7 separate regions of the Mus musculus genome follow, and regions 1, 2, 3, 5, 6 and 7 are each reported to be linked to region 4. The links are microRNA targets in miRTarBase. Many come from high-throughput screens and were not tested one by one. Region 4 holds a microRNA gene; each other region holds the end of a gene's coding sequence. Distances are from middle to middle.
What was found. Region 4 holds the annotated microRNA mmu-miR-297a-5p (AUGUAUGUGUGCAUGUGCAUGU, at 2,269-2,290, shown strand). A microRNA usually pairs through its seed, bases 2 to 8, with sites in the 3' UTR of a target mRNA and lowers its output. Matches are read on the target gene's strand: a 7mer-m8 pairs with bases 2 to 8, a 7mer-A1 pairs with bases 2 to 7 and ends in A, and an 8mer does both.

Region 1 (4,070 bases), 120 Mb from region 4:
CTGTCTCCCTCCCTGTGTCTCTCTGTCTCTCTCTCTCCCTGTATCTCTGTCTGTCTCCCTCTCTCTCCCTGTGTCTCTCTTTCTGCCTCCCTCTCTCCCTGTGTCTCTCTGTCTCTCTCTCTCTCTCTCCCCCTCTGTCTCTCTGTCTCCCCTCTCTCCCTGTGCCTCTGTCTCCCTCTCTCTCCCTGTGTTTCTGTCTCTCTCTCTCCCCCTCTGTCTCTCTGTCTCCCTCTCTCCCTGTGTCTCTGTCTCTCTCCCTCTGTCTCTCTGTCTCCCCTCTCTCCCTGTGTCTCTGTCTGTCTCCCCTCTCTCCCTGTGTCTCTCTGTCTCTCTCTCCCTGTGTCTCTGTCTCCCTCTCTCTCCCTGTGTCTCTCTTTCTGCCTCCCCTCTCTCCCTGTGTCTCTCTGTCTCTCTCCCTGTGTCTCTCTGTCTCTCTCTCTCTCTCCCTCTGTCTCTCTGTCTCCCCTCTCTCCCTGTGTCTCTGTCTGTCTCCCCTCTCTCCCTGTGTCTCTCTGTCTCTCTGTCTCTCTCCCTCTGTCTCTCTGTCTCCCCTCTCTCCCTGTGTCTCTCTGTCTCTCTCCCTGTGTCTCTCTGTCTCTCTCTCTCCCCCTCTGTCTCTCTGTCTCCCTCTCTCCCTGTGTCTCTGTCTCTCTCCCTCTGTCTCCCCTCTCTCCCTGTGTCTCTGTCTGTCTCCCTCTCTCTCCCTGTGTCTCTCTTTCTGTCTCCCTCTCTCTCTCTCCCTGTCTCTCTGTCTCCCCTCTCTTCCTGTGTCTGTCTCCCTCCCCCTCTCTCCCCATGTCTCTCTGTCTCTCTCTGTCTTGTTTTACCACAGAGAAAAGTGAAGCAGTGAGATCATGTGGCTTGTCTGGGTCACACAGCCAACTGGCACAATAGGCTTTGTACCCAACGACTGTCATGGAGTAGCATGCGGTGCTACTGACTGCCCTGTGTGCTTAAGGCTGGCTCACAACCCCCTGGGATTGCCTCACAGTACTTGCCTTGTTCTATTATCCACTCATCAATCTGCTGTCCAGTGGGGCCACTGACAAGGTACCACAACACCCCATCACCTCCCTGCTCCAAGCATCTATCTGTTCAGCCACAAACAACCTCCTGCCCACCATCCTCCAACCACTCCCTGGGCAGAAGTGAGCCCTCTCTCTCCTGTGCTACACATGCAGATCCATACACAAAGTCTCATGTAGCCCAGGCTGGACTCAAACTGGCCATGTAGCCAAGGATGACCTTGATCCTTCTGCCTCTACCTCCCAAGTGCTGGGATGAGAGGCACATGGTGCTTTAAGTCCCTACCCCCACACAAACTGGTCCCCAAACTCAGGGCTTTATGAATGCCGGGTAAGCATGCTACCAACACAGCTATGCTGGCATCTCTTCTCTGCTTCCTTTTCCATACGGCCTGCCTTCCCTTGCCCAAAGGACACCCAGAAGTGAATTTCTGGAATTGGGAAGAAAACTGATCTGGCAATGAAATATAAATGACATCTCAGAAAGCCACTGTGTCCCACAGCCTTATGTGTTTATGGCTCCAGCACTAGAATATCTACTGGAGGTCCCTAAGGCCCATGATGTGTGACATTTTTTCCCCTCAGTGATGTCACACTAGGATCCTGGAAATTTCTGGACATTTGTTTCCTCAAAGCCACCTGTCAACGTTCACCTCCAAGCCACCGGTGGGTCGGGAGTCATGGCTAACAGCAGCAGGGAGGGAATGGCCGACTGACTGTTCAGATGAAGCTGGAGAGAGTCCATCTCCTTTGTCAAGTTTCTTTTATTAAAATATATAGGACTGAATATTGGTGGGCGCTGAGACAGGAACCACCCTTCCAGGCTGCACCCAAGGGAGACGCTTCTGCCATGCGGACATGCGGCCAGTCTGTGTCCCTGCAAAGGGGACAGACCCCTCCAGGTTGGGCGTGCAGCCAGAGGCTAAGGGATGCAGCAGGTTAGAGTGGTGGCCTTTTCCCGTGGCCTTGGCTTTTCACAAGACAGGGACCTCGATGGGAAGAGTCAGACTGGGGGACAGGGGGTCCCTGAGCCAGGGAGAACTGGTGGTCTGTAGATCGGGTAAAGGAAGGCCCCGGTCAGGATGGAGATGGGGTCAGTACAGCCCTCAGAGGGGGGGGGGGTCCACCTGTGTATAGGGGTGTTGTCACCCTGTCCTTCCTCTAAGGACCTCCCTTATCTTGGGGCTGGCCTTCTGGGGAACACACGTGGACTTTCAGAGGCAGGCCTGAGCAGAGACCGGGCTTCAGATGATGGAATGTACTTTTGTGGGGATGTTCCTCCAGGAAACATGCTTCTTGGGACACTGTTCCTTCTGGGCGAGGCCTGGGGAGGCAGGAACAGCTCTCTCTCCTCCTGAGGGTCTGCTGACCTGTTGCCTGGTCACAGGTCCCCAGCCCTCAGGGCTAGCTCCAGCTTAGGGTTAACAGTGGCCTTCAATCCCCAGGGCGCAGCCCAAGCAAGCAGAATCCGCAGGTTTGTGCTTTAGAATGTTGGCGAGCTGGGCTGGGAAAGGGCTGTGAGACCCCCAAGGCTCCGAGGTACAGGATGGATGTCTGAGCGTCTTCCTCGGCCACTGAATCAGGGCTGCAGGGACCCAGGCCTTCCCTTGTGGGCTTGGCCTGAGCTGCTAGGAGTTTGTGCTTTTTTGTCTTGGTCGGGATGAGTCTGTTCAAGGGCAGCCACAGAGGTGTGGCCGATCCACTGTGTTAAGGAACTGGGTGGCAAGTGGCCAGGGAAAAGGAGGGGGATGCCCCCTACCAGACCTCCCATTTCAGCCCAGTTCCCTGGTTGTCAGTCTATGAGCCAGGTGATCTCCCCAGGGAATCAAAGAGGACCTTGGAGAGGCCATCCTGGTGCTGGAAGTTGGGAAATCTCCACCAGCCACATTCCCACTGGCCAGCAGTCTTCACCCAGTGGTATGGACAAATTGTTTCCTCAGTTTCTCCAAAAACCTCAATCCTGCCCCACTCTTACAGGAGGTCTTAGTCCAATGGCCCCTCACTATCTAAGCTCACGGCATAGTAGGTAGCCTGGCACTCAGGTTCCAGGACCCCAGGTGATCATTAGCATAAGGCTGCAAGCCCAGCTTCCAAAACCATTTCTTCCTATAGACCTCTCCCCTCTTTGTCCCCTTGGAGTTTCTGGGAGCTTCCTAAGAGCATGGGTCCATAGGCAGGGAGTAGTTTGATCTCCCGAGTGGTAGAAAAGACACAGGGACCTTAGCTTTGTAGACCTGGTCCTCTCGATCTCTGAGTTCCTTGTGGGTAACATCTAGCCAGGGCTGGCCATCCCAGAGGCAGCCTTTTTTATTGACCTAGGAATAGGCGGGGGTGCCTTCTGGCTGCCACTTCCTTGGCCAAGCCAGAGGAACCATGTGTGTGTGTGTGTGTGTGTGTGTGTGTGTGTGTGTGTGTGTGTCTGTATGTCTGTGTCTGTGTCTGTGTGTGATGGTGGCTGTGTCTTGGAAGTAAACTGCTCACTTTTTGCAAATATATTAGAAAAATGTTTCTCATAGAGGCTTCTCCTGTCAGGATTGAGGCTTCTCTGGGTTGAGAAGCAATGACCACCGGGGTCCCCTCCCACATGTCCTAGATGACGTTCTCAAACAGCTGCATGGAGTTCATGATGTTCTCATCCTGTATGGAGAAAAGGAAAGGTCGGTCAGGAGCTGGTTCCCCAATGCTGACTAACTGCGGATTCCTGTCAGAGACTCTCACTGGGTAGATGGGACACTGAGGAGCAGAGGTATGAAGTAGAAGGTAGCCCCAGAGCCCAAGTGGCAAGGTGCAACCTATCATTCCTAGGGATGGAGCAGGGTCCGGCCACCACTGATGCACACACACAGACACACACACACAGACACACAGACACACAGACACACACACACACACAGACATACACACATACACACACACACACACACACACACACAGACACACACACACAGACACACACAGACACACACACACACACAGACACACACACACACAGACACACACACACACACAGACATACACACATACACACACACACACACACACACA
Region 2 (4,069 bases), not on the chromosome of region 4:
TGGAGCACCCGTGACAGTTCTCCCAAGTTCCTTCCTTTCTGCACATGGGGATGGATGATACTTAGGGTTGGAAGGTTATCAGGGGCCGGTTTGATTTTGGTTTTGTTTTCACTTTAAAATCTGCTGAGTGTTTGTTTTTGCTAACTCACATCTCTGTTGTGGCGCCTTCACTTACTTCTTGAACTCTGTATGCCTTAAGATAATATGCTTTAGATAATAAGGCCTTTACCTTAGTGACTAGCATGGGAACCACTTGCGTAACTACACGAATGTCCAGTCCCAGCTCCAGCCAAACGGAGCTCACTTTGACCAGTGCCAAAATTGCATCTTCTGGTTACTACTTTGTGCGTGAGTTACTTGAAATCATCTGCTTTGTTTTGTTCTATTTCAGCGAGCTCTTGCTAAAACTGGAGCAGAGTCTATCAGTTTGCTTGAGCTGTGTCGAAACACAAACCGAAAGCAGGCAGCAGCAAAGTTCTACAGCTTTTTGGTTCTTAAGAAGCAGCAAGCCATCGAGCTCACACAGGAAGAGCCGTACAGTGACATCATTGCAACCCCTGGACCACGGTTCCATATTATCTGAGGAGCTAGATGTGTTCGAGCTAGTGATAACTCACTAGTACATACAAATTGCCCCCGTGTGCAGGGCACCAAAACCCTTTAAGAAAGTTTTTAGATTTCTGTTTGTACAAAAATCTTTGCCTTTTCTTTCTTCTTTTTCCCCCCAGTGTTTCTAATTTTGTCAACCATATTTTTAAGGGAAACTGCTTATTTGGGTTGGGTTTGTATTCCTGGAGAAAACAGTAGCCCAAGAACCCAGAAGACTTTTAACAGTTCAGAACAGATGTGTGCAATATTGGTGCATGTAAGAATATGGAGTAACAGTCAAAAGGCACCATTTTTAATGTTAGTTTTCCATTACTATGTTGAAAGGAAAACCTGCCTAGGAAAATGCCTGACACTTTAAGAACTGTGGTTTGAGTCCCTTGACAGGAAGAGAAAAATGTCTTCCCATCAGTGAAACCAACGGTCTGGTTAACCACTGTAGTAGGGATAGTGTGTGAAGCATCGTGCTTGTCTTCTTGATCATGTTTAAAGTAAATCCACACTGAGCAAGAATTTGTGAGGTTGTGCTGACTGATCTTCTTCGGCTATTATGTTCTGAAATCATTCCGTGAGTCTTAGGACCTCTGATGCTATGCACCGCAGCTCAGAACGATCAGACGTCTACAGTGGCGTGACTCCTCAGGGGCTGCAGATCACTCTCAGAGGTGTTTGGATGTTTGCTTGAATAATGAGATCATGGAAGCAGACATTCCCCTGCCTGCTGAAGGGCAGACCAATGAGAGACTACCCCAGATTGACTTCCTTTAAGCAAACAGTGCTGTAAAAACTAATGGCTTCTCTGATATTTATTATAAATGTTAGTACTCATCTTTTTCCAAGGCTGCACACTCCTGTATTTGCAACTTATTTTTAATAACTTTGCAACTATAATCCTGTATCAGTTTCCTATAATTTAAGTGGAGAAAAACATCCTAATAAAGGCTTTATTATTAACAGACCAGATAGCACCAGAAATTATGTGACTATATAAATATCAAAACATGTTCACTTTGTAGGACAAAATTATGTTGAAAAGTTCTAGCTTAAGTGTTGGCACTTTTATGGGGGGGAAATCAGTTTTAAAACTAAGACTTCCATGTATACCCAGTAATTTAAAATTATGTGAAATATTTTAAATTTGTGAACTCGTAATTACTACTTTAATGATTCAGTTTCTCGAGAATGGTAATTGTATAAAATTGCTCTTGCAGTTTTCTTTTCAATACGACGTGCCTGTAACCATGGATGTCCCCTTTGTAAAAAGACACTGTAGATAATTGAATGTTTGATTATAGAAAGGTCGTTAGTTTCTTGTTAAACATTTTGTTAGTCCAGTTTTTGTCGCTTATTGGGTTTAATATTGTTCTTGAAAATAGTCGATGCTATGTTATGTATAACTTTTCTAATAAAAGTTGTGTTTCAAGCTGTACATTTTGGAACATACTCAGTTGATGATATGTCACAAGAGAAATGTTGACTGAAAAAGTTAACATGGCCAAATATTTCATTTGCTTTACCTAGGAATATTTTGTGCTAATTAAGTGAATTTTTTTTTTAAAGTTCAGTAGTTCCACGAACACTACTGACCATTGTCTGACAGCTTGTTGAAAGGCAGCACTGTCTTAAGGTAATTCTAAATCTAAGCAGAGTGCTTAGTGTCCATGTTCTGACAGGGAAACAAGTCACAGTAACTGAAGTCATAGGTGCAGATAGTTGGTTGGCTGCAGTATTAGTGTAGGGTAGTCAGAATATACCTCTTCGAGAAGGTGAGTTTCTGAGCAATAAAAGATTTGAAAATTTAGACCCGGGAAGAGGGTGATTAATAAATGGGTCAAGTGTTGCAGAAGGGGGACCTAAAGACGGGTAAAGAAAGACCAGTATAGCTGGAAGTCTAAAGGGAATATTAATAGGTGGAACAAAAGCTACTACGACTCCCATTTTGTGTGGTTGTACTTCACATTGCTGCCATTTCAGTGTCACATCCAGTGAACCTTAGGACAGACTGGCTAGATCAATGGCCCAGCAAAGTGTTCTCTGACTTCTTGCTTCCCAGTCAGTAATAACTGAATGGGTGAATGGTGGGGTCTGCTGCCACAAGCTTGCAGTAACATTGATGCTTCAGTAAATTGCAACTAATCCCTGGCACCATGCCACCGTTAACCTGAATCTGAGGAAGTGCCAACTAGCCTTGATACTTGCTGTTAAAATGGACCAGGATTTGAAACTCCCCTCTGCTTTTTAGCATTAATGTGGTCTTGGGTTTTGGTTTTCTCAATGATACAATTTGGTCTTGAAGTCTTGAAAATCACATGACATAAAGAATAGAGAAGTGTCTAAAAAAGAGACAAATAGGCCGTTTTCAGGACTGATCATGGTGGAGTGTTGAGACTGGAAAGACTAAAGGTATCTATATACTGGCAGGCCCTCCTTTGAGCAGACTGCCTTAGCTGTCTGCAGGGTGAATTGCTTACGCAGGCAGTAAATGCTGCTTACCGTTCAGATTTCAGCTGAGGGTAAATTCCTCAAGGGAGATTGTGCTGATCCACACCCTGGGCTATACTAGGTCAGGCTTTCGGGTTGAATGCTCTTTAGGCTCCCAGAAAATGAATTAACAACCGACATACATAATTGGCAATATTTGAAGCAGTTTTAAGGTCTTTTCAAAGTCTTCTGCTTAGTTTGACTATGCGTTGCTAAATATACGTGAAATATCCCAAACTCTCAGAATTCTCAGGGTTGGTCCTTCAGTCGTCACCTGTGATAAAATCTTAGCCCAAAGGCAGGTTGGCACTTTGTAGAAACACATAACAAGGATCAAATGGTAATATCTCCTCTTAAAAGAATGGCTTTTGAGGCCCGGTAGTGGCGCACACCTTTAATCTCAGCACTCAAGAGGAGGCAGAGGCAGGCGGATTTTCCAGGTTCAAGACCAGCATGGACTATAGACTGAGTTCCAGGACAGACAAGGCTGAATAAAAAGTAAGATTCCACCAGTCATTGCCTACAACCACCCAGAACCTTACTAAGCATTGAGAAAGTGTTTAAAATACAGGAGCCTTGGGGGGACACTTCAAAATGCAACACCTTCATACAGGTGATAGGAATGTCTGAGTCAAGCCACTATGCAACTGATAGGGGTTCTTCAGAAAATTAAAATGGAACTTGAGTATGATCCATTACGGAAGGAGCTGAAGTCAGTACATTAAATAAGATGCACATGCCTACAAAAGCACACTAGCCAAAGATGGCTACAACCTATCCATGTCCATTGACAGGTCACTGTATAAAAGAGAAATGTATGTGTACATGGTAGAATATTGAACCTTAAAAGGGGTGAAATTTTGTCATATGAAGCAGTGTGGATAGAACTGAGCGACAGAAGTCGGGCACATGGCACGAGACCCGAATACAATCAACCCAATCAGTGTATAAGCCTGGAGTGGGAAGGGGTTCATAAGCCCAC
Region 3 (4,070 bases), not on the chromosome of region 4:
CAGTTGATGGAACCTCTGAGAACACTGAAGATGGACTGGACCGGAAAGATAATAAGCAGCCCAGGAAAAAACGTGGCCGCTATCGACAGTATGATCATGAAATAATGGAAGAGGCCATTGCAATGGTAATGAGTGGGAAAATGAGTGTTTCCAAAGCACAAGGAATCTATGGGGTACCTCACAGCACTTTAGAATACAAGGTAAAGGAAAGATCTGGAACACTGAAGACTCCTCCGAAGAAGAAACTACGATTACCAGACACTGGGTTATATATGACAGATTCAGGGACTGGCAGCTGCAGAAACAGCAGCAAGCCTGTGTAGATTACTGTTAGAGAACATGTGCGAGACTGTGTGTGTGTGTGTGTGTGAGAGTGTGTGTGCGCGCGTGTGCGTGCAGGAATGTATGTGTACAGGGGTATGTGAGTCTTTGTGTGTGTGTATCTACATACACATGTGGAAATTACAAATGCTCACTCTGACAGGAGACATGAAATTTTACAGTTCAAAAACCACTTACATGCCTTTTGAAAAAGTTTTATTCAGGGTTTTCACTGTGGACAGAATTATAGAGTTGCTTATTAATTCTGATAGTTTGTATTTAATCCTTGTATAAATAGGTGAAAAAGATTCAGGTTTTCTTTAGTAGTCAATAGCATAAATGTGGGGAAACAAGTAACCGTCAAGTGAGACATTTTTTTATTGGTAAAAAGATTGTAGCCATTCAGTTGAACCATCTCATAATGGAAACATGATATTAATAGTTTGTGAACACTTTTATGTAACATACCTACAATGATTGTGAGTATGTCAAAGAACCAATCAAAGTTAAATAGTTACCTCTGTACCAAGAGTAACTAATAGATACAGTATTAATACACTACAGTGCATTCTTTGAAATACAGAATGCACTAAAGTGCATCCGCCAGGATAGAAGAGAAAACCTTAAAGGATATGTATAGTAAAATTTAATATTTATCATTTAATTGTTGAGTTAGCAGGAAGTTGGGGTTATTACGTATATAATTTAAATTTTAAAAAAGCTGACATAGTTAATTAACCCCAGAAGCTATAGAATCCTTTAATATAAGATGGAATACTAAAAGCAAAAAGTAATTTAAATTTAATTATTAAAGTAACTTAATTTTGTTTTTCATTTGAAAACTAAGCTAATGTGTAAGGTTAGGAAAGAAGTTGGAATGCCACTTAGAGCATGTTTATAATGTGCGCAGGACAAGCTTGAGAATGGTCATTGTGGTTAATGTGCTGGTTAGTTGACGTTATGACTACTTTAAGGATTGTGACACACTCCTACTGAAAAACCTCAGTGTAACTTTAATATATTTGCTGCTGTGACATTTCAAAACATTTTCAGTTTATCAAGATGAATTACAGATTTCATTTTGGTGGGTGATACATTATCATTTTGCTAATAACCAAACTTGCAGTTTGTTCAGGGTCTTGAATAGATTTACAGATATTTAACACTGACGCTGTTTTGAATTTTCAGTAATGTAAACTCTTTACTACTTGGATATTTAGAAGCTGGGCAGTGCATTTTAACTTTTACTAGACTCATATGAAACCAGTGATTTTTATAAAACAGTTTTAAAAATATGGGTCAGAGTATTCATGTGGGTTTATGAAGTATGCAGTTTTGGTAGTAGAAATGTAATAAAGCATGTACCTCCGTGTAAAGACAGGAGATCTGCTTTATAGATGAGACTCCTCCTCTATGCCCTTTTCTCTGTTAGAATTCAGGTTCTGGTCATGTTCCTAAGCCACTTTTTATAAATCCAAAAGGAATTCTTACAGCTGAATTTAAATATAAGTGCACCTTGTCAAATACTTGTGTTGCTACACTTGTGTTTGTGTGTATTTAGTAATCACATGAACTTGTGATTGTTCAGCTACTAAACTTTAAAACTGCTTGCATGTATTTAAAGAAACTGAAGAATGAGAAAATATATGACCAGGTAATCGCTTGGTCTCTCAGATCTGTACTGAACATTTTCAGCTGTTAACATTACCTGCATACTGGGGTATGAATCCTCTTTATCTTTTTCTTCCCCCAAGAAAATATACTTAATAGATTACAAGACAGCATTTGTCAGGGTCATCTTTCTTTTTAAAGAATTAAGCCATATTTTGTGAGGACCGGAACATGGATTATTTATTATATTTCCCCCTCCTCCCATTGAAAAACAAAGTTAAAAAGTAAATGCTTCAAAAAACAATTTTCTTGACCTCTTTATACAGAATTTTACTTGCAAAACTTTGGGAGCTCGAATGCATTACATAATATTTATATTGTATTGAGCTTTTTTATTCCTCACACTATATTTACATTGATAAATTGATTGAGAAGTTTATAGTAAAGGGAAACTTACAGAACACTTTTCTATCATTTAAAAGATGACCTGACCAAAAACTTTACAGCATTCATAAATCAGGGATCATTTTGCTATTGACTTCACAGTGACCAGTAGTTTTATAGGTAATATTAAAGTTAATTTGCAGCATTTTAGTACTTATTATTTATTTTTGGTCAAATAGTAAATTAAAATATTTTTTGATAGTTTATAGGTAATGATCCACCCATAACTTTTAAAAGAAACATAACGTTTGTATTACTGAGTTGACTTTTTAATTATACAAACTAGGAAAGGCAGGGAAGTTTATGGGTTCCCCTCTCCCCACTGGTTCTATTAAAACGTGCTTTATGTTAAACTTTCAAAATCCTTTAAAAATTTAATTACCAGTTACTACTTAATTGACAGTTTCTGAAAAATCCAATTTCAGCTGACTTTTAATGAATATGAAAGCAACCCTTATGCGCTTTCTACTTATTTGAATGTTCCTCAAGTATTTTATATTTAAAATAAAAAAAGAAGGAAAAGAAAAAAACAGTGCCTCTGTTTTTAGAAAACTACTGCTCAGTAAAGTTGTTTAAACCATTTCTGATAGCTGATGACAATTTTATATTAAACTGTATACTGACTTTAGTGAAACTGATTTCTTTTTTAGTTGTTTACAGTGCAGATACTTGTGGGTTTTTTTTTTAATTGCAGTATTTCCATTGTCGCAGTAATTTAGTAAAACTCTGTGGCTGCCTTGATTTTGACAGATTTTGTTAATATAAACTGATTGTTAGGCAATTAGTTATATTTATGCATAAATCAATTGCACTATAATTCATGAATTATTTATTACAATATTTTCTAATGAATTCATGTATCTGTCTTGTGTTGTACATGTACTGTAATTTTGTTCCTACTTTGTGTTGTTATATATCTAAATCTGATTGTATGAATTTTAATTGTTCAGTTAACGTGTTTCTAGGTTGTAATTTGTAGTAAAGCACTTCAATGCTTTTGCACTTAAATTTACAACACTGTCGGTGTGTGGTTAATTTACTCATTCAGTAAAGGAAAAGAAAAGTAAACTTGACTATACTGAGTTCTTTGAGTCCTTATGAGGAGGGTTTTTTTGTTTTGTTTTTTTGGTTTTGGTTTTGGTTTGTTTGGTTTAGTTTTAAATAGTGTTAGAATTTGACTTTTCCCAAGAAACATTCCACAACAAATTTCTAAGAAAAAGGCAGAATAGAAACAAAAATGAGATGTTTGGGATTATAAACAAACAGGAAGAATTAGAAAGAATTGATCTAAGAAGAGACATTACAGCCAGGTAGACTAAGGTGGCCTTTAATTAACCTCAGCATTTACGAGGTAGAGGCAGGTGGGTCTCTGTGAGTTCTATCTAGGCCAGCTTAGTCTACATGGGGAATTCCAGGCCACCCAAAGCTACATTGTGAGACTGTCTCAAAATTATAGTTTTAGCATCTTTATATAATTACTAGAGAATAAATTGTGAATTGGAGACTCACACATGTTTCTGTTCACTCACTATGATTCCCTTTGAGACTATGATGGAAAAATGAGGGAGAAAAATTTTTTATATTTTGTAACTAATTTAGTATAAGGTCAACTCTTATACCTGAAAATCTGATATATTAATCTATTGTTCATATTATCAGCAACCACTAGTATTTTTAAATTTCCAGTATTAAAA
Region 4 (4,070 bases):
AGTTCAAATTCATGCTTAACTTCATGATGATTTTAAGATCAGCCTGTGATTCATGTGATTCTCAGCCATGTATGTCCATGTGTGTATATTTGTGTGTGCATGTGCTTGTGTGTATGTGAATATATATATCATACGCACGCACACACACACACAAATGCAAGCACATACACTCTCACACACAGAGGAATTGAATTCATCCATTAATTTGAATGCTATGTGACTTATTCTTTTAGAGATTATGCAGTAGTGGGACAGTGAACGGTCTCACTCGCCATGTGCAAACATATTACAGATTGAGCAGGGTCGGGAGTTCAAATTCATGCTTAACTTCAGCTGGACATCATCCTGGTATTCATGTGATGCCACCCGTGTATGTGCATGTGTGTTTACGTCCCTGTGTATGCACATGTGTGTATATAAATATACATACCATAAACATACATGTAAATGCAAGCACACAAACATGGAATGGCATTCATTGATACATTTGAATGATGTGTGACATAGAGCTTTAAAGATTATGTAGTATTGGGCTAATGAAACTTTTTACTCACAATGTGAAAAAGCTTCCCATATTCAGAAGGATTAGGAGTTCAAATTTATGAATAACTTCAAAATGGCTTAGAGATCAGCCTGGCTTTATGGGTTCCTTCCCAGTGTATGTTCATGTTGCATAGTTTTGTGTGCTAATGTATGTGTGCATATGAATATACATATAAATACACACAAACACATACACACAGGCACACACACACACACACACACACACACACACACATACACACACACACACACACACACACACACATACCCCGAATGGCACTCATTGATACTTTTAAATGACATGTGACTTAAAGTTTTAGAGATTATGCAGGGCTGGATCAGTGGGTGCTCTCACTCACAAGGTGAAAATGCTTGCCAGAGTCAGGAGGATCAGGAGTGGAAATTCATTCTCAAATTCATGAGTCCAGGATCAGCTTCGGATTCTAGTGATGCCCCCAGTGTATGTGCCTGTGTGTATATGTATGTGTGCATGTGCATGTGTGTATATGAATATACATATACATACACACATACCCATACAAACATGCACACAAACACACAGAAAATTGACACTCATCGATCCATTTCAATGATATGTGAGTCTTAGAGATTCTGTATGACTGGGCCACAGAGAGGTCTCACTCACCAGGTGACGCCCCTTGCCAGAGCCAGGATGATCAGGAGTGCAAATTCATGTTCACTGCATGATGAGGTAGAGATCAACCTGGCATTCATGTGATGACCCCTATGTATGTGCATGTGTGTTTGTGTGTACATGTACATGTATATATATATTGATATACATATAAATACATGCACACATATTCATGCATGCACACGCACACATTAATGGCACTCTTAGATCCATTTGAATAACATGTGACTTAGAGGTGAGAGATTATGCAGTACGGGGACAGTGAGTGTTCTCACTCATCAGGTGTAGACAACTGCCAGAGTCAGGTCTATCAGGAGCTTAAATGCATGCTTACACTCATGAGGACTTAGAGATCAGCCTGTGATTTATGTGATTCCCCCCATGCATGTGAACGTGTGTATAGTTGTGTGTGCATGTGTGTATATGAATATATATAACATCCACACATGTATAAATGCAAGCACAGAAACACACAAACATAGGAATGGTACTCATCGATCCATTTGAATGATATATGACTTAGAGTTTTAGAGATTATGCAGTAGAGGGACAGTGAATGGTCTCAATCACCAGGTGTAAATGATTGACAAAGTCAGGAGGATCAGGAGTTCAAACTCCATTTAGAGATCATCCTGGTATTCATTTGATGCCACCCATGTATGTGCACGTGTGCTTACATGTGTGTGCATGTTCATGAATGTATATGGATATGCATGTGCAGACACACACACACATGCAACACACACACAAACACATGGTGACTTGCATTCATCTACTTGCATAATATGTGACTAAGAGTTTTAAAGATTATGCAGTACTGTGCCCGTGCATGCTCTTACTCAACAGGTCAAAGTGCTTGCCAGAGTCAGGCCTTAAAGGTATGTGACTTAGAGTTTGAGAGATTATGCAGGGCTGGATCAGTGGGTGCTCTCACTCACAAGGTGAAAATGCTTGCCAGAGTCAGGAGGATCAGGAGTGGAAATTCATTCTCAAATTCATGATTAGGTAGGGATCAGCTTCAGATTCATGTGATGGCGCCCCCCCCCCCCAGTGTATGTGCCTGTGTGTATATGTATGTGTGCATGTGCATGTGTGTATATGAGTATACATATACATACACACATACCCATACAAGCATGCACACAAATACACGCAAAATCGCCACTCATGGATCCATTTGAATGATATGTGACTTAGTCTTAGAGGTTCTGTATGACTGGGCCAGTGCGTGATCTCACTCACCGGGTGAATAATCCTTCCAGAGTCAGGAGGATCAGGAATTCGAATTCATGCTTAACTTCATAATGAGTTAGAGATCAGATGCGATTCGTGTGATGCCCACCAAAAATGTGCATGGGTGTATAGTTGTGTGCATATTCATTTCTCTATATGAATATGCATATACACGCAAGCACACACAGGAATGGCACTCATATATCCTTTTGAATGGTATGTGACTTAGAGCTTTAGAGTTTATCCAGTAACGGACCAGAGCTATGTCTCAGTTAGGAGGTGAGTATTCTTGCCAGAGTCAGGAGGATCAGGAGGTCTAATTTATGTTTAACTTCCTGATGAGTTAGAGATCATCCTGGCATTCATGTGATGCCCACCAATAATGTGCATGTGTGTATAGTTGTGTGCATATTCATTTCTCTATATGACTATGCATATACACACATGCATACAAACTCACATACAGGAATGACAGTCATATATCCTTTTGAATGATATGTGACTCAGAGCTTTAGAGCTTATGCAGTACTGGGCCAGAGCTATGCCTCAGTTAGGAGGTGGATACTCTTTCCAGAGTCAGGAGGATACGGAGTTCAAATTCATGTTTAACTTCATGATGAGTTAGAGATCAGCCTGGAATTCATTTGATTGTCCTTGTGTATGTGTATATATGTGTAGGTAAGTGTGCTTGTACATGCATGTATATGAACATACACACACACATACATATACACATAAGAATGGCAGTCATAGATCTGTTTGATTTATATGTGCTTAGAGTTTTATAGAGTGTATAATTATGGGTCAGTGTTACATCTAACTCACCAGGTGAAAACCACTTGCCAGAGTTAGAAGGATCAGGAATTTAAATTCATGCTTAACTTCCTGATAAGTTTGTGATCATCCTGGCATTCATGTGATGCCCACCAAAAATATGCATGGGTGTATAGTTGAGTGCATATTCATTTCTCTATATGAATATGCATATACACACATGCACACACACACACACTCACACACAGGAATGACACTCGTTTATCCTTTTGAATGGTATGTGACTCAGAGCTTTAGAGCTTATGCAGTACTGGGCCAGAGCTATGTCTCAGTTAGGAGGTGAATACTCTTGCCAGCGTCAGGAGGTCCTGGAGTTCAAATTCATGTTTCACTTCATGATGAGTTAGAGATCAGCATGCGATTCATGTGATGCCCTCCCCCATGTATGTGCATGGGTTCATACTTATGTGTGCATGTAAATGTATGTATATGAATGTTCACATACATATACATAAACACACACACTGGCATTCACCTACACGCACATTAGTGGCTCTGATCGATCTATTTGAATGAGATGTGACTCAGAGCTTTAGAGCTTATGCAGAACGGATCCAGGGCTAGTTCTCCCTCCAGGTGAAAATGGCTTCTGTGGAAACCTGACAGCCTGAGTTGGATCTCTGGAACTCAGCACACAGGCAGGCTATGGTGTGATTCTTTTGGTTTTTCGTACACCTGATGATTTTCTTTGAGTTTTCAGATTGCAATATATCTTAATTTAAAATTTATCGTTCATCTGGCTCGGGAGACTGGAATACCTCCCTCATTAATAGCTGTCTTCTCTTTCATTCTCTATGAAAAAGGT
Region 5 (4,070 bases), not on the chromosome of region 4:
CATGTAAGAAGGTGGTTTCAGCCCCGTGGGATCTACCCAGCAGCCAGAGAGAAAGATTGCCAGCTCTGTAAAGCTGGGAGGTGGGCACCCAGCCCACTGATGCTGGACTCAGGGTTCTATGCTCTCTTCTAGAAGTCCTCAAGGAGGGCAGCGTCCTGTTCCCAGATGTGCTGGTGCGGGAGACGGAGGCTGTCGTCCACAAACACCGCTCAGCTACCTACTGCGAGCAGCTGCTGCAGCACATGCAGACCATGGCCGCTGCTCGGTGACTGTGTGCATCAGCTACTGAAGGCAGACAGTGGTGGCCTGCAGACCTCGCACTTGAGACACTGTGTCCATGGCCTCGGGCCATCCTTGGGCCCCCAGATGGTGCTTGAACATCAGCTTCTGTGTTTCCTAAGCAGATTTCTGGGGTTTTGTAACACACATACACACACACACACACACACACACACACACACACACACACACACACACGCCAGCTTCCCAATTAGCTGCTTGAACATAATGTTTTTAAATTACAAGCCCCAGGGGTCCTGGGCTGCTTTCAGATTCACCATAATGCTCTTCACATTGCAGGAAAGCCAAAGGATTATAAAACAACCAACCATCCACTTCCTCTGGGCTCTGTCCCATCATCCTGTGCTGAGGACAGTGTCCAGTCTTGACTCACTGATAAAGTTTCTCCCAACTATTCTGGGTTTTGACACAGGGTTTCCCTGTGAGGCTTTGACTATTCTGGAACTCTCAGAGATCCACCAGCCTCTTCCTCCCCACACTGAGATTAAAGACCCGCACCACTACCACCCTGCTCCTCCCGATTTTAAATACACTGGAATGTCTTGCAGTGTGGGTGCACTGTCCTGGTGTTTCTGTTTCTCAGTATTAGTGATGCCCGTGGGTAAAGGATAGACTAGGAAACCAGCCTTCATCCCTACCACTTGCTGTAGCAGTCAGTAAGGTGGCCATTCTCCAGTGTCTTTTCCACCAAGTGCCTAAAGATTTCTAAGTGGTTCTTAGCCGCAGCCTATATTTTTGTTAAGACAATGTTGGGGGGGGGGGGGGTCGTGTCCAACAAATTTTAACATTTCTGCTTTGCCATTTATGGAATTAAATTATTTATTATAGTTATTTGTGTGGCCATCTGTGTGATTTGACTGATTACACTACATCCGTACAGACAGCTCCTGTCTCCATATGTCGGTGTTGAGGTGGTCCAGCCTGAGGGATGCTGGCTGTGGACTCCATGGGATGGGCCCCTCTAGTGACAGTCATCACTGGCTATGACCTGCATTCTGACATGAGGTAGCTGGAGGGCCAATAAGGCCCAGCCATCACCAGGGTAAGCCGGGTACACCAGTATGGTCCCGAGTCAGGCTGGACATCCAGGTGGGTGAAGTTTGGCCTCAGAGTGCCTGGCCCAGGGACTGCGGCCTGAAACTGCATTCTGTCCATTTCCCATTATCCTTGCTGCCTGGAGCTCTGTCGGTCATGTGCAAGATTGTTCAGCTCTTTGTTTTATCTATTACAATCTGTATTTGTCAAAGAGTGCACATAGGCTACAGCGTACATGTAGAAGTAGGACCTGAAGGACTCAGGTCTCTCATTCCACCATGTGGGTCCTGGGGATTGAAGTCGAGTTGACAGCATTGGCAGCAAGCACCTTGGCCTGCTGAGCCATCTTGTTGGTCAGAGCACCAGGCATTTTATTTTATTTATTGTGCATTACTGAGTATTGAACTTAAGACTTTGCCAATGTGTTCTACCCATAAGCCATGCCCCCAGCCCATCACTTATTTAAAGCAGGAGTCACCTCCCTCCACCCCTAGCTCAGCATCGCATCTTTGCAAAGAGATATCCAGTAAGTATCCTAGGCTTCATGGATCTTCCGGATCAGCTGTTGCTGGGGCTCCAGCTGTACTCAAAAGCCTTGTGGATACATTGCTCATGGTGTGGGCCTGTTTCCCATTGCTCCAAACATAATGGCTGAGTCAGATTGGGGAGGTGAGTCCCATAGAGTCGGGGGTTATTTGTAGCTGCTTTATTGATCTGAAGTTAGAGTGGGCTATTAGGTGACAGGCACACACCACAGCACCACCTCCATTGAGGCAGACCGCTTTGAGGAGCCTGTGGGGTGAGCGCACTTAACCACCATCACATTAGCATCATATGGACACTTGTTAGCAGTGCAGACAGGCCATCTCACCAGCTGCCTCCTTAGGAGGGAAGATGCTCAGTTGGAAGAGAAGCCTCCCTAGGGTGGAAGTGGGAAAATGAGGTCAGGAGCTGTGTCCTCTCCTCCTCATGCCCACCTTTCTTTTTGAAAAACAAAACCCCTCAGTCAAGCCCATGTAAACAACTGGATTTCTTTTCTTTTCTTTTTTGAGACAGAGTTTCTCTGCATAGCCCTGGCTGCCCTAGAACTCTGGAGACCAGGCTGGCCTCTACTCAGATCTGCCTTCAAAGGGCTGGGATTAAAGGTGTTTGCCACCTCTGCCTGGCTAACAAATGGGCTTCTTAATGTGTCACAGCCCGTGAGACAGCTCAGTGGGTGAAACGACTTGCTGAGCAAGCCCAGTGATGAAAGGGTCGGTGGAAAGAATGACCTCCATATATGCAGTGTAGCATGTGTGCTCACACAAATGGATGGTACACAGGAGTGTATTCAAGGGTTGGAGAGATGTCTCAGGCAAAGGCACCTGTCACCAAGCCCTGGGACACACATGGTAGCAGGAAAGAACTGACTCTGCCAAGTTATCCTCTGACACTCACAAAAAGACATGTTGCATGCCCTCTTTGCAACACGCAAATAAATACAATTTAGTTTTTTAAAAAGGAAAAAGAAAAGGCCAAGTGGTGGTGGTGCGCACCTTTAATCCCAGCACTCAGGAGGCAGAGGCAGGCGGATTTCTGAGTTCGAGGCCAGCCTCGTCTACAGAGTGAGTTCCAGGACAGCCAGGGCTATACAGAGAAACCCTGTCTCAAAAAACATATAAAAAAATTAAAAAAAAAATTAGAGGCCAGTCTAAGATAGATACAGAGTGAGTTCAAGACCACCTAGACTTTGCCTCAATATAAAAAGTAAAACAGGCTAGGTGAGCCCAAAAGATGACTCAACTGGCAAGAGTGCTTGTCACTCAAACCTGACGACCTGAATCAGTCCCCAGGACCCATGACTGAAGGAAAGAACCAACTCATGGGAGTTTTCTTCTCGTCATCTGCACACACACACACACACACACACACACACACAATTAAAGGGGGGCTGGGCAGATGGCTCACAGTTTAAGAGCACCTGCTGCTCTTGCAGAGGACTAGCACCCATATAGTGGCTCACGGCCATCCAGAATTCCATCCAGTTCTAGTGGGTCAGGTGTCTTCTGACCTCATGGGCATCAGTCACTAGCATGCACGTAGGCAAAACACCCACACTCAAATTAAAAATAATAATTGGTGGTGCACGCCTTTAATCCCAGCACTTGGCAGGCAGAGGCAGGTGGATTTCTGAGTTCAAGGCCAGCCTGGTCTACAAAGTGAGTTCCAGGACAGCCAGGGCTATACAGAGAAACCCTGTCTCGAAAAACCAAAAAAAAAAAAAAAAAAAAAAAAAAAATAATAATAATAATAATAACAACAACAACACAGAGGAGCCGGGCAGTGGTGGCACACGCCTTTAATCCCAGCACTTGGGAGGCAGAAGCAGGTGGACTTCTGAGTTTGAGGCCAGCCTGGTCTACAGAGTGAGTTCCAGGACAGCCAGCGCTATGCAGAGGAACCCTGTCTCGAAAAATCAAAAATAAATAATAATAAGGAAGGGGATGTAGTTCAATAATAGAGCAACTGCCTAGAATCCCCCAGGGAGGGGCTGGGGGCGTGGCTCAGTGGTAGAGCCCCTGCCTAGAATCCCCCAGTGAGGGGCTGGGATGTGGCTCAGTGGTAGAGCACCTACCTAGAATCCCCCAGTGAGGGCTGGGGCCGTGGCTCAGTGGTAGAGCACCTACCTAGAATCCCCCAGTGAGGGCTGGGGCCGTGGCTCAGTGGTAGAGCACCTCCCTATCATGTGCTACCAG
Region 6 (4,058 bases), not on the chromosome of region 4:
GATGACTTCACAACAAAACATAATTTACATAGTAACTCTTTTACGCTAGTATAAAAATAGTGCCAGAAACTATATATTTGTTCAGATATATTGAAAAGGCATAAGAATACAAATAGGTCATCAACAGTGGCGAATCAGGGTTCACTAGAGTTCTTAAACGGTAATAGAAATTTATATTTTTCAGCTATTTACATCACTTTCAATGACATTCAAGACATGTCTACACAGGCTTTTGATAACAATGTGGAAGGGTGAGGTAAGCTTTAATACTTCCTTCTTTGCTCTCTGTGAGAGGGCAGAAAGAGTCCAAATCTGCAGTTGAATAGTCTGAGAACTCCGATCTCTCTCTCTCTCTCTAGTTGCAATATGGAAACATGACCTATGTTGTGGAAGATGTGACTCCTTGCGTAAGGTGCTCTTTAAGCTATCAGCAAGGTAAATGGTCCACGCCAACAGGAAGCCGGAATGTTCACTGACAGATTCTTAAGAAATTTTGGATAAAAGTGCATGTTATGTATGTTACAGAAGAAGGGGAAAGTGGTGGAAAGCCCTATATACTTGCACATTGAGTTGGCGGGATGAGAAGCGATGCCCTTACTCATTCCATGCTTGGCCCATGAGCTCCTGGCACTTCCTGCTGTGTCTCAGCATCTGAGCACTGTGCCTAACATACGGAGAGGATTTAATAAGAAACGGGCTGATGCATGGTTGACACTGAGTCATTAAATTCTGCCACCTTATTTGAGACAGCTGTTTACAGGAGAGCGGGGAACATTTCATCTCTTCTCATCTTAAATCAAGTTAAAGCAAAAGGCCATGCCGCTTACCTGATAAGGTTTAGGAGTGTAATCTAGTGAGAAACACAGGAAATTTGGAAATGTGATAGGTGCCAAGCCTTACACTTCGGCAGCGTTCTGAGAGTAAAGGCACTTAACTGGTAGGCAAGAATTTCTGACTCAAGTTCATATATACTCTTGTCTCCGTGTTGCTGCTAAAAGAAGTTCTTCTTTGTAATTAGCCAACCAGTGACAGAGTATCATCCTACATTTTTGCTCCGAGCCAGGTCTGTGTGGAGTGAATTAACAATACTTGTTTTCCATCTAAGGAACTCAGCGAAGAAATGACGGGCGCTGTCAGGTCATTACCTCAATACCCCATTTTGCAACAGTGGTCTCAAAGGTCCATAAAAAAGCTTAAGAGCTAGCTATTTCTTGGGGGGCATGCCCCTTAAACACAGGCTTTGTCTAAACCAAACTACGTGAGTACCCTGACTGGTAAAGGCAGCTAACTCTTCTAAACGTGTAAGATCAGAAAACTTTATAGACAACTTACCAAACCACGAGGATTTTTCTGGCTGAAAGTTAAAAATGACATGATATCATATTATTTCACTATAGCCAGCCAAGAAATTTGTCAAGAGAACAGTCCAGGACAAGAACACTTTCTTGTTCATTACGGGCACTATGGATTCACGGCAGCATGAGAGAGGAATGATAATATAATGTGATAGATATATTCCAACTTGAGTGGACACTAGAAAGGCAATATTCACATTCAGAACAAAAACTATGATTTGTGTTCTTGTACCACAGATAGCATTCCATGTATGGAATGGTTTTCCTATAAAATAAAAATTATTTGAATAAAATACCCAGCAATAAAATATCACAGTGCTTTTCCTATGTTAATATGTAGAGTAAGACAAACCACGACCTAAAGCAAACCGAATGATTTTCAATGTACATACGGCTTCTTGCCTGTCACTATGTTAGACAAACCCTCCACATATAATGAACTCTTTAAGAATATTCTCAGTGACTTAGGTCAGAGGAGTGTGGAGAAGCAACACATGTATATGACTGCATTTCAGCATAGCTGCTCGGTCACAGTGCCAGGCTTGTAGAATGTCCTCTAAGCAGTGCGCCTACACTCTGCATAGGCGAGTGTGAGGCTGGTGTGATTACTATTAGTGACAGTCTGTACCATTTACACACCAGTGCGTTAGAGCAACCTTCCAGGTTTCATCTCTATGACATGAAATAAAAATAAGATAAAATTCTGAAAAAAAAATACAAGTATTACAACAAGAATACATTTAGTATTGGGTGACAATTCCCTGGTCTAGCCTTGACCAATACAAAACACTGCCAGTATAGCCTGCTTTGCCTTTTCATATCTGAGGAAGAACAAAGCCACAATACAATATACATACACAGGATTAAAATGACCATGTTGAATTTTAAACAGAGAGAAAAGCAAGAGAGAAACCATTTTAATGCAAATTAATGCTAGAAACCCAGACAAAATACATTACCCTCTTTGGGAGGATGTGGGGAAAGGGTGGGAATGAATAAATCAAATCCTTCTAATTCTGCCCAAACCCAAACCTTTCTGCACATCTGGAACAGATCTGCACATCTGGAACAGATGCTCCTCCCCTAATGCAGTTATTTGGTTTTTTTGTTTGTTTGTTTTTGTTTGTTGTTTTGTTTTGTTTTGTTTTTTGACTCACTTTCTACTTCTAATACTGAATGCTGTTTTGTTTGGGCAGGAAGACGTTCACAGACTGTTCCTTTGAATTCATTGTCTGACCTGCCTATTGGAGACAAACCTCTGCTACTCATAGAATTATTAATATTTTTTTCCTGTCAATTTCAGTTGACAGAAGGGATAAAGACTCAACTTGCACTCGCGTATCTGTAGTCATATCTGCCTTCAGGCATGTGCCCCTGTGACCGTTTCTCTGTTGAAGCTTAAACTGTTGGATTAAGGAGATGAAAAGCAAAAGAAAAATTAAAAAAAAAAATTAGTTGGCTTTTTGTTTGTTTGTTTGTTTGTTTGTTTGTTTTTTGAGACAGAGTTTCTCTGTGTAGCCCTGGTTGTCCTGGAACTCACTTTGTAGACCAGACTGGCCTCGAACTCAGAAATCCTCCTGCCTCTGCCTCCTGAGTGCTGGGATTACAGAGTGAGTTCCAGGACAGCCAGGGCTACACAGAGAAACCCTGTCTCGAAAAAAAAAAACAACGACCCCTCCCCCCCAAAAAAGCAATTAGTTTTAAAAGTTTTCAGTATTTAAAAATGTGGATTGTCAGAAAGATCTTCAAGTAAAACATTTCTCTTGGTGGAGGGCTATCCAGGGCCCTCCCATGTCTCTCTTGGGACAGCTGGGGGAGGGGAATCATCTGGCCTGGGGTTTAGACGCAGTGGGGAGTCTGCTTGCTGAAGAGGGCGGCTGCATGGATGGTTTGCAGCTTAAGTTTGTTCTACCACGTAGATGGGATATACTGCAAGTTCTCCCCATCCTAGAAAGAGCAGAGCAATTAGGTACCACGTTTTCTTGTTTCCCAATTCTTTAACTTGGTTAAGACACTTCTGACAAGTTTATATTAATTTCTCCCTAACACCCACTCGGTCAGCATTAATTTTCAAGGTGGCTTTCAATGTCCCCGAACACATTTACTTTGCCCCTAACCCACTTTTCAGAACCATTCCTAAGGTGTTTTAAAAAAGTGGTGACTCAGGAACACAAAGGCCAGTATTTATAATCCCCGAGCATGACCAAGCTGAGTGTAGAATCGCCGTTTACACCATCCTTATCAAAAGCGTTAGAGTGGGCATGACTTGATCGCTCCACTTCAGTGGCATAAAACAAAAGGATGGAAAGTAGGTAGCAATCTCTGAAACACTTCACGCTCTCCAAAGTTGTGCAAAAAATAAAATACAGCAGTGGCAAAGTGCACTCAAGTCTGCATAGTGGACTGGGAAACCAGGCCTGTGGCAGTTTGTACACGGGGAGGGGTGTGGGGGCGGGGCTGAGGGAGGCATCAGTCAGTCCCGCTTGCCCTGGCTGCTCTCCCCGTTAAGGAGCATCTTCTCCTGCTGCTCCGCGAGGGCCTGCCATTTCTGTCTGTTCTTCCTGCAGCCATCCAGCAAGGGCAAACAGTCTTCGGATACGTGGGTCAGGGCCTAAGAAAAAAGAAAGGAAACAACTAGAGAGAAGCCTCCGCCACAGGCTTGCCACCAGGGCCACATTCATTGCAGGAGCATCGCGTTCTCTT
Region 7 (4,070 bases), not on the chromosome of region 4:
TCGTCATCGCCTGCTACTTCTATGAACAGGCCTTTCGGGACCAGTGGGAGCGCAGCTGGGTGGCCCAGAGCTGCAAGAGTTATGCCATCCCTTGCCCTCACCTCCAGGGAGGTGGAGGAGTCCCACCACACCCGCCCATGAGCCCAGACTTTACAGTCTTCATGATCAAGTATCTCATGACGCTGATTGTGGGCATCACATCGGGCTTCTGGATCTGGTCCGGCAAGACACTGAATTCCTGGAGGAAGTTCTACACGAGGCTTACCAACAGCAAACAGGGGGAGACTACCGTCTGAAACCCAGACTCTTACCTTACCCTTTTTTGGCCTGATCCTAGCCATCGCCTGGAAGCTGGCCCCAAGGAATTCCTGCCAAGCCTGGCCACTCCAGGCTTCCTCGCCAGCCACTGACTTTTGCAGGCCCCTTTCCCAACAAACAGCACAGGTTCTGCAAAAGCTTCCGTCCCTGGGGTAAAGGAACGAGAGGGCCCAACTGATCGAGGTGTATGTGTATGTGCGTGTGGACCGATCTCTCTAGCCCTCTCTGATACCAGGATTGTACGCTTTTATGATTGTAAATAGCCTGTGTAAGATTTTTGTACGTATATTTGTATTTAAAGACTATCGAACACGCAGTTTTTTTTTCTTTTTAAAAATGTTTAATTATTTAGGGCAATTTACGTATTTGGAGCTTTTCTCACTTGCCCTTTTCTGCAGATTGCAGAGGAGGTAAAACAGAGCACACTTGACTAAGTGCTTTGCCCTGTGCCCTCATCTTTGTCAAGGGAGCATGGGCCTGCCTCTCCAGGGTCATTTCCTTCAGCATCTCCCGCCCCTCCCCTTCCTTGCTTGCAGTGGGAAATTTTAAGGTGCAGAACTCTGTAAAGCTTCCAGATCCCGAGGTGGGCCCCGCCCATTCCAGATCCTCCCCTTTTCAGCGGTAGAGTGTGGATGGCTGTCCCTGTGACTTCCTGATGCTGCTTATTTGAGATCCACCTTCCAGCTTTATTAGAGGACCCCAGTATGGGCTCTGCCAGTTGACCCAGCCTCCCTGTACCCCGGTGTCCCTTGCCCAGTGTCTTTCTCCTTGCACCTAAGTTGTTCAGAGGGAGTGCAGTAACCGACCGATAGCGAACTTTGGAGAGTCTGACTTTTTATGGATGAGCTCATTTTTACTCTCTAGTATCTGGAACTTGCTCTGGGTCTGGTCATCATCATGGAAAGAGCAGCAAGCTTTGTGGGTTGGGAGAGGCTAAAGAGAGAGGTTATAAAACATTAGTTCTAATTGCATTCTGATGTCTGGCAACCTACTTTCTTCCCCCTGTGATGCTGCCTGCTTCTAGATTTTACCCTTCTATGAAATGCAGACCTCGAGGTTGCCTGGGAAGCTTGGTGAAGGAATGGTTTACCTTCCTTAACAGGATAGTAGAACATACACAGAGTATGGAAACCTAAGGAGATTTCAGTGAAGTGGAGTTACTCCAAGTGAAACGCTGTTTTCTGGTTTTAGCCAAACTGCAATTAGATGTGTCTTTGCAATCTAAAAGTTGTACACAATCAACAATACACTTTGCTTACTCCTCAGCAGCACATTCTGAGGGAGAAACAGTCACACCCCCGCAGAAAGCCTGGTTGGACTTCCGAAGACAGAGGCGGTGGACTGACGGATGGGTGAGAGAGACAAACACGACCTAGGCATGCATGCTGAAGGGGAAGTGTGTCCATTCCTACTGCATCCCATCTTGTGTGCTCCTGTCTGGATTTACGGCAGTGTGTCAAATGTAAATCTCTCAAAGCCATTTAAAAATACTCACTTTAGTTATGGATGAAGAAGAGGAGAAAAGCAGTCCTCCTGATTGTAGTGTTTAAACCTTAAGAGTTTATCACAAATGCCGATACATACATAGGACCTAAATTTATCTATGTCTGTCATACCCTAAAATGACATTGGTTTTTGGATTTGGTATGCATTATTATTGTTATTATTGTTATTATTATTCTCACCACCATGAGATCATCTATATTTATAGAGGAATAGAAGTTTATATATATAAAATGCCATATTTTTAATTTCGCAAATAAAAAAATGAAAGTTTTGTACAAAATTACATTTTTCTGTGTGTGCCTGAAAACAATCGTCCTATCTGAACTGCCTTTACATTTTACAATGCCTCACAACCAGTCCACAATATACAAAGCTAAAAGATTCAATGGAAAAATCCACCCTTGCAAAGTGCAACCAGCCTGCCTTCTGAATGGCATGTGTAGAGTCCCATGCCAAGGCTGTTTTCATGGTAGCAGAAAATAGAATATTTTCAAACAATATTATTTTTAAAGTCTAACTCTAATTTTAACACTGAGGCTTTTTTCTTTCTTTCAGGGAATACATTTACATGACTTTTATTTGACAGAGGTTTATCTTTCAGTTGGGTGCCTTTGTGATGTTCTATGAGGTATTGTCTTGTTTTTTTCCATTACCGTGCACATCCGAAAACCCATAAACAGGCAATCAGTATGTGGTCACGGACTCTGTTTATAAGCATCTAAGATGGCAGTAGGCTGTGGAAGCGTTTTGTTGTTGTTGTTTACTTCTGAAGATTCCATCTGTATTGTTCAGAGAACCTTTCACAGAGGAATTTCCTATGTGACCTCAGAATTGATATGCGTGCATGTACATATACCTGTACACATGCATGTGACTATATATACAGCAAAATAGAAATAACAATTTACATTTTATAATATGGGAATAATATGAGAAATAGAACCCTATTAGAAAACTTCAAATATCTGGAGATTTAAAATATTTTTATTATATTTTTCATTACTTTCTAAAATCAAAAGACAAAGGGCTAAAGAGAATCCATTAATGCACCAGAGTGGCTTTTATGGTTATCAGGAAATTGTGTTATAAGTCTTAATTCATTTAAGATATTAAACATTTTAATTTAATGGAAAATACACATTTAAAGTTGGAAGAAACAATTTTTGGTTGTTACATTAATAGAAAAGATGGCATTTGAGAAGCTTTTATATAGAGATAGACATGAAAAAAAAACAGTAATTCTTTAACCAAATGAGAACATGTCTCATTAGGTAATTATGTAACTTGTGGGAGAAATATTTATGACAATTAATTAGTTTCTGTTCCAGGAATAAATGTAAACAAAACAACAACAAACAAACCAGCCTTATTGTGGGTGTCCTTAAAATGATGCAGATGTGAATTTGACACAGAAAGGTTTTATAGTCTCTCTATACTAAAATATCACTCAAACAGTAACAGGTTTTATATTCTCTCTATATTAAAATATCACTCAAACAGTATTTTAAGTCACTGTCAGGCTTTGTCTTCAGAAAGCACTTTATTTTAAAGTATGTGAGATACATAAAACCAGGAAGGTTTTTGTTTGATTTGGCTTGGCTTTGCTTCGTTCAGTATTGATGGCAAAATAAAACTTACCTGGGAAACCGTGGAGCCGCTGATGATATGATCCCATTAGGATGCTGTTTCCATGACAAATCCTACTTTCACATGGCTTGATTTGCCTGGATTTTTTTTTAAAGCCAACTTTCTATTGAAGTCAGTTTCCCCCCTGACAGTGCACTCAATTCAGCTTTTACAGTAAATATTAAGGTAACATGAACACCTTCTGATGTTCATATTTTCTTTTCACCTAGATTTTATGGAGACAAAGAATTGTGTTTTTCATCCCAGAGGCAGACTGTACCAAGCATATGTAAAAGAACCAGAGGGGATATTTCAGCAGCTCTGCAATGGTTTCTTGTTAGCCTGAGGTTAGAGCCCTGGTCCTTTTGTCTCTACTGTGAGCACTGAAGCCTTCTGCCATACATACATTGTTATTAAAGAGCCAGCATTTAACTAGGAAACTAGAGTGGCAGAACATTGTAAACCATTATACATTTCCGATGATGATTTTCTATATAACTGGAGTCCAAGAAATTAAAACAGAACATGGTCACTACACATGTTTACATGTGGACACTAGTGATATTTTCACTGAGTATTTCTTAACACACCAATCTCAAAGTCTTGCAGGACTGACCTGT

Region 1: the mRNA of Kcnip3 is a reported target of mmu-miR-297a-5p. Seed matches in the 3' UTR shown: 7mer-m8 at 3,446-3,452.
Region 2: miRTarBase lists Rad21 as a target of mmu-miR-297a-5p. Seed matches in the 3' UTR shown: 8mer at 622-629.
Region 3: the mRNA of Lcorl is a reported target of mmu-miR-297a-5p. Seed matches in the 3' UTR shown: 7mer-m8 at 446-452.
Region 5: miRTarBase lists Dnaaf5 as a target of mmu-miR-297a-5p. Seed matches in the 3' UTR shown: 7mer-m8 at 426-432.
Region 6: miRTarBase lists Pde5a as a target of mmu-miR-297a-5p. Seed matches in the 3' UTR shown: 7mer-m8 at 514-520.
Region 7: the mRNA of Fzd1 is a reported target of mmu-miR-297a-5p. Seed matches in the 3' UTR shown: 7mer-m8 at 1,430-1,436 and 7mer-m8 at 1,897-1,903.

What each region holds. Positions count from the first base shown.
Region 1 is chr2:127,454,727-127,458,796 of GRCm38, forward strand. Kcnip3 (Kv channel interacting protein 3, calsenilin) reads right to left here. Exons shown (of 9, transcript NM_019789.4): 9 at 1,772-3,662. The coding sequence ends at 3,615. Among named protein-coding and RNA genes, the nearest start is that of Fahd2a, 12 kb to the left of the region's middle.
Region 2 is chr15:51,960,570-51,964,638 of GRCm38, reverse strand. Rad21 (RAD21 cohesin complex component) reads left to right here. Exons shown (of 14, transcript NM_009009.4): 14 at 392-2,035. The coding sequence ends at 583. Among named protein-coding and RNA genes, the nearest start is that of Gm52217, 28 kb to the left of the region's middle.
Region 3 is chr5:45,729,709-45,733,778 of GRCm38, reverse strand. Lcorl (ligand dependent nuclear receptor corepressor-like) reads left to right here. Exons shown (of 7, transcript NM_001163073.1): 7 at 1-3,447. The coding sequence ends at 323. Among named protein-coding and RNA genes, the nearest start is that of Gm3414, 4.2 kb to the right of the region's middle.
Region 4 is chr2:10,514,809-10,518,878 of GRCm38, forward strand. Mir297a-4 (microRNA 297a-4) reads left to right here and starts at 2,259; the gene lies at 2,259-2,356. The region is part of intron 10 of Sfmbt2 (Scm-like with four mbt domains 2); the gene reads left to right. Mir466h (microRNA 466h) reads left to right here and starts at 83; the gene lies at 83-163. It overlaps Mir297a-3 (microRNA 297a-3), which reads left to right and starts at 1,012; the gene lies at 1,012-1,113. It also overlaps Mir466l, Mir669i and Mir669h.
Region 5 is chr5:139,185,378-139,189,447 of GRCm38, forward strand. Dnaaf5 (dynein, axonemal assembly factor 5) reads left to right here. Exons shown (of 13, transcript NM_001081265.2): 13 at 133-1,133. The coding sequence ends at 269. Among named protein-coding and RNA genes, the nearest start is that of Sun1, 13 kb to the right of the region's middle.
Region 6 is chr3:122,855,103-122,859,160 of GRCm38, reverse strand. It overlaps Pde5a (phosphodiesterase 5A, cGMP-specific), which reads right to left. Exons shown (of 21, transcript NM_153422.2): 21 at 1-3,966. The coding sequence ends at 3,829. Among named protein-coding and RNA genes, the nearest start is that of Gm34577, 6.6 kb to the right of the region's middle.
Region 7 is chr5:4,751,878-4,755,947 of GRCm38, reverse strand. It overlaps Fzd1 (frizzled class receptor 1), which reads left to right. Exons shown (of 1, transcript NM_021457.3): 1 at 1-2,109. The coding sequence ends at 296. Among named protein-coding and RNA genes, the nearest start is that of Fzd1, 4.3 kb to the left of the region's middle.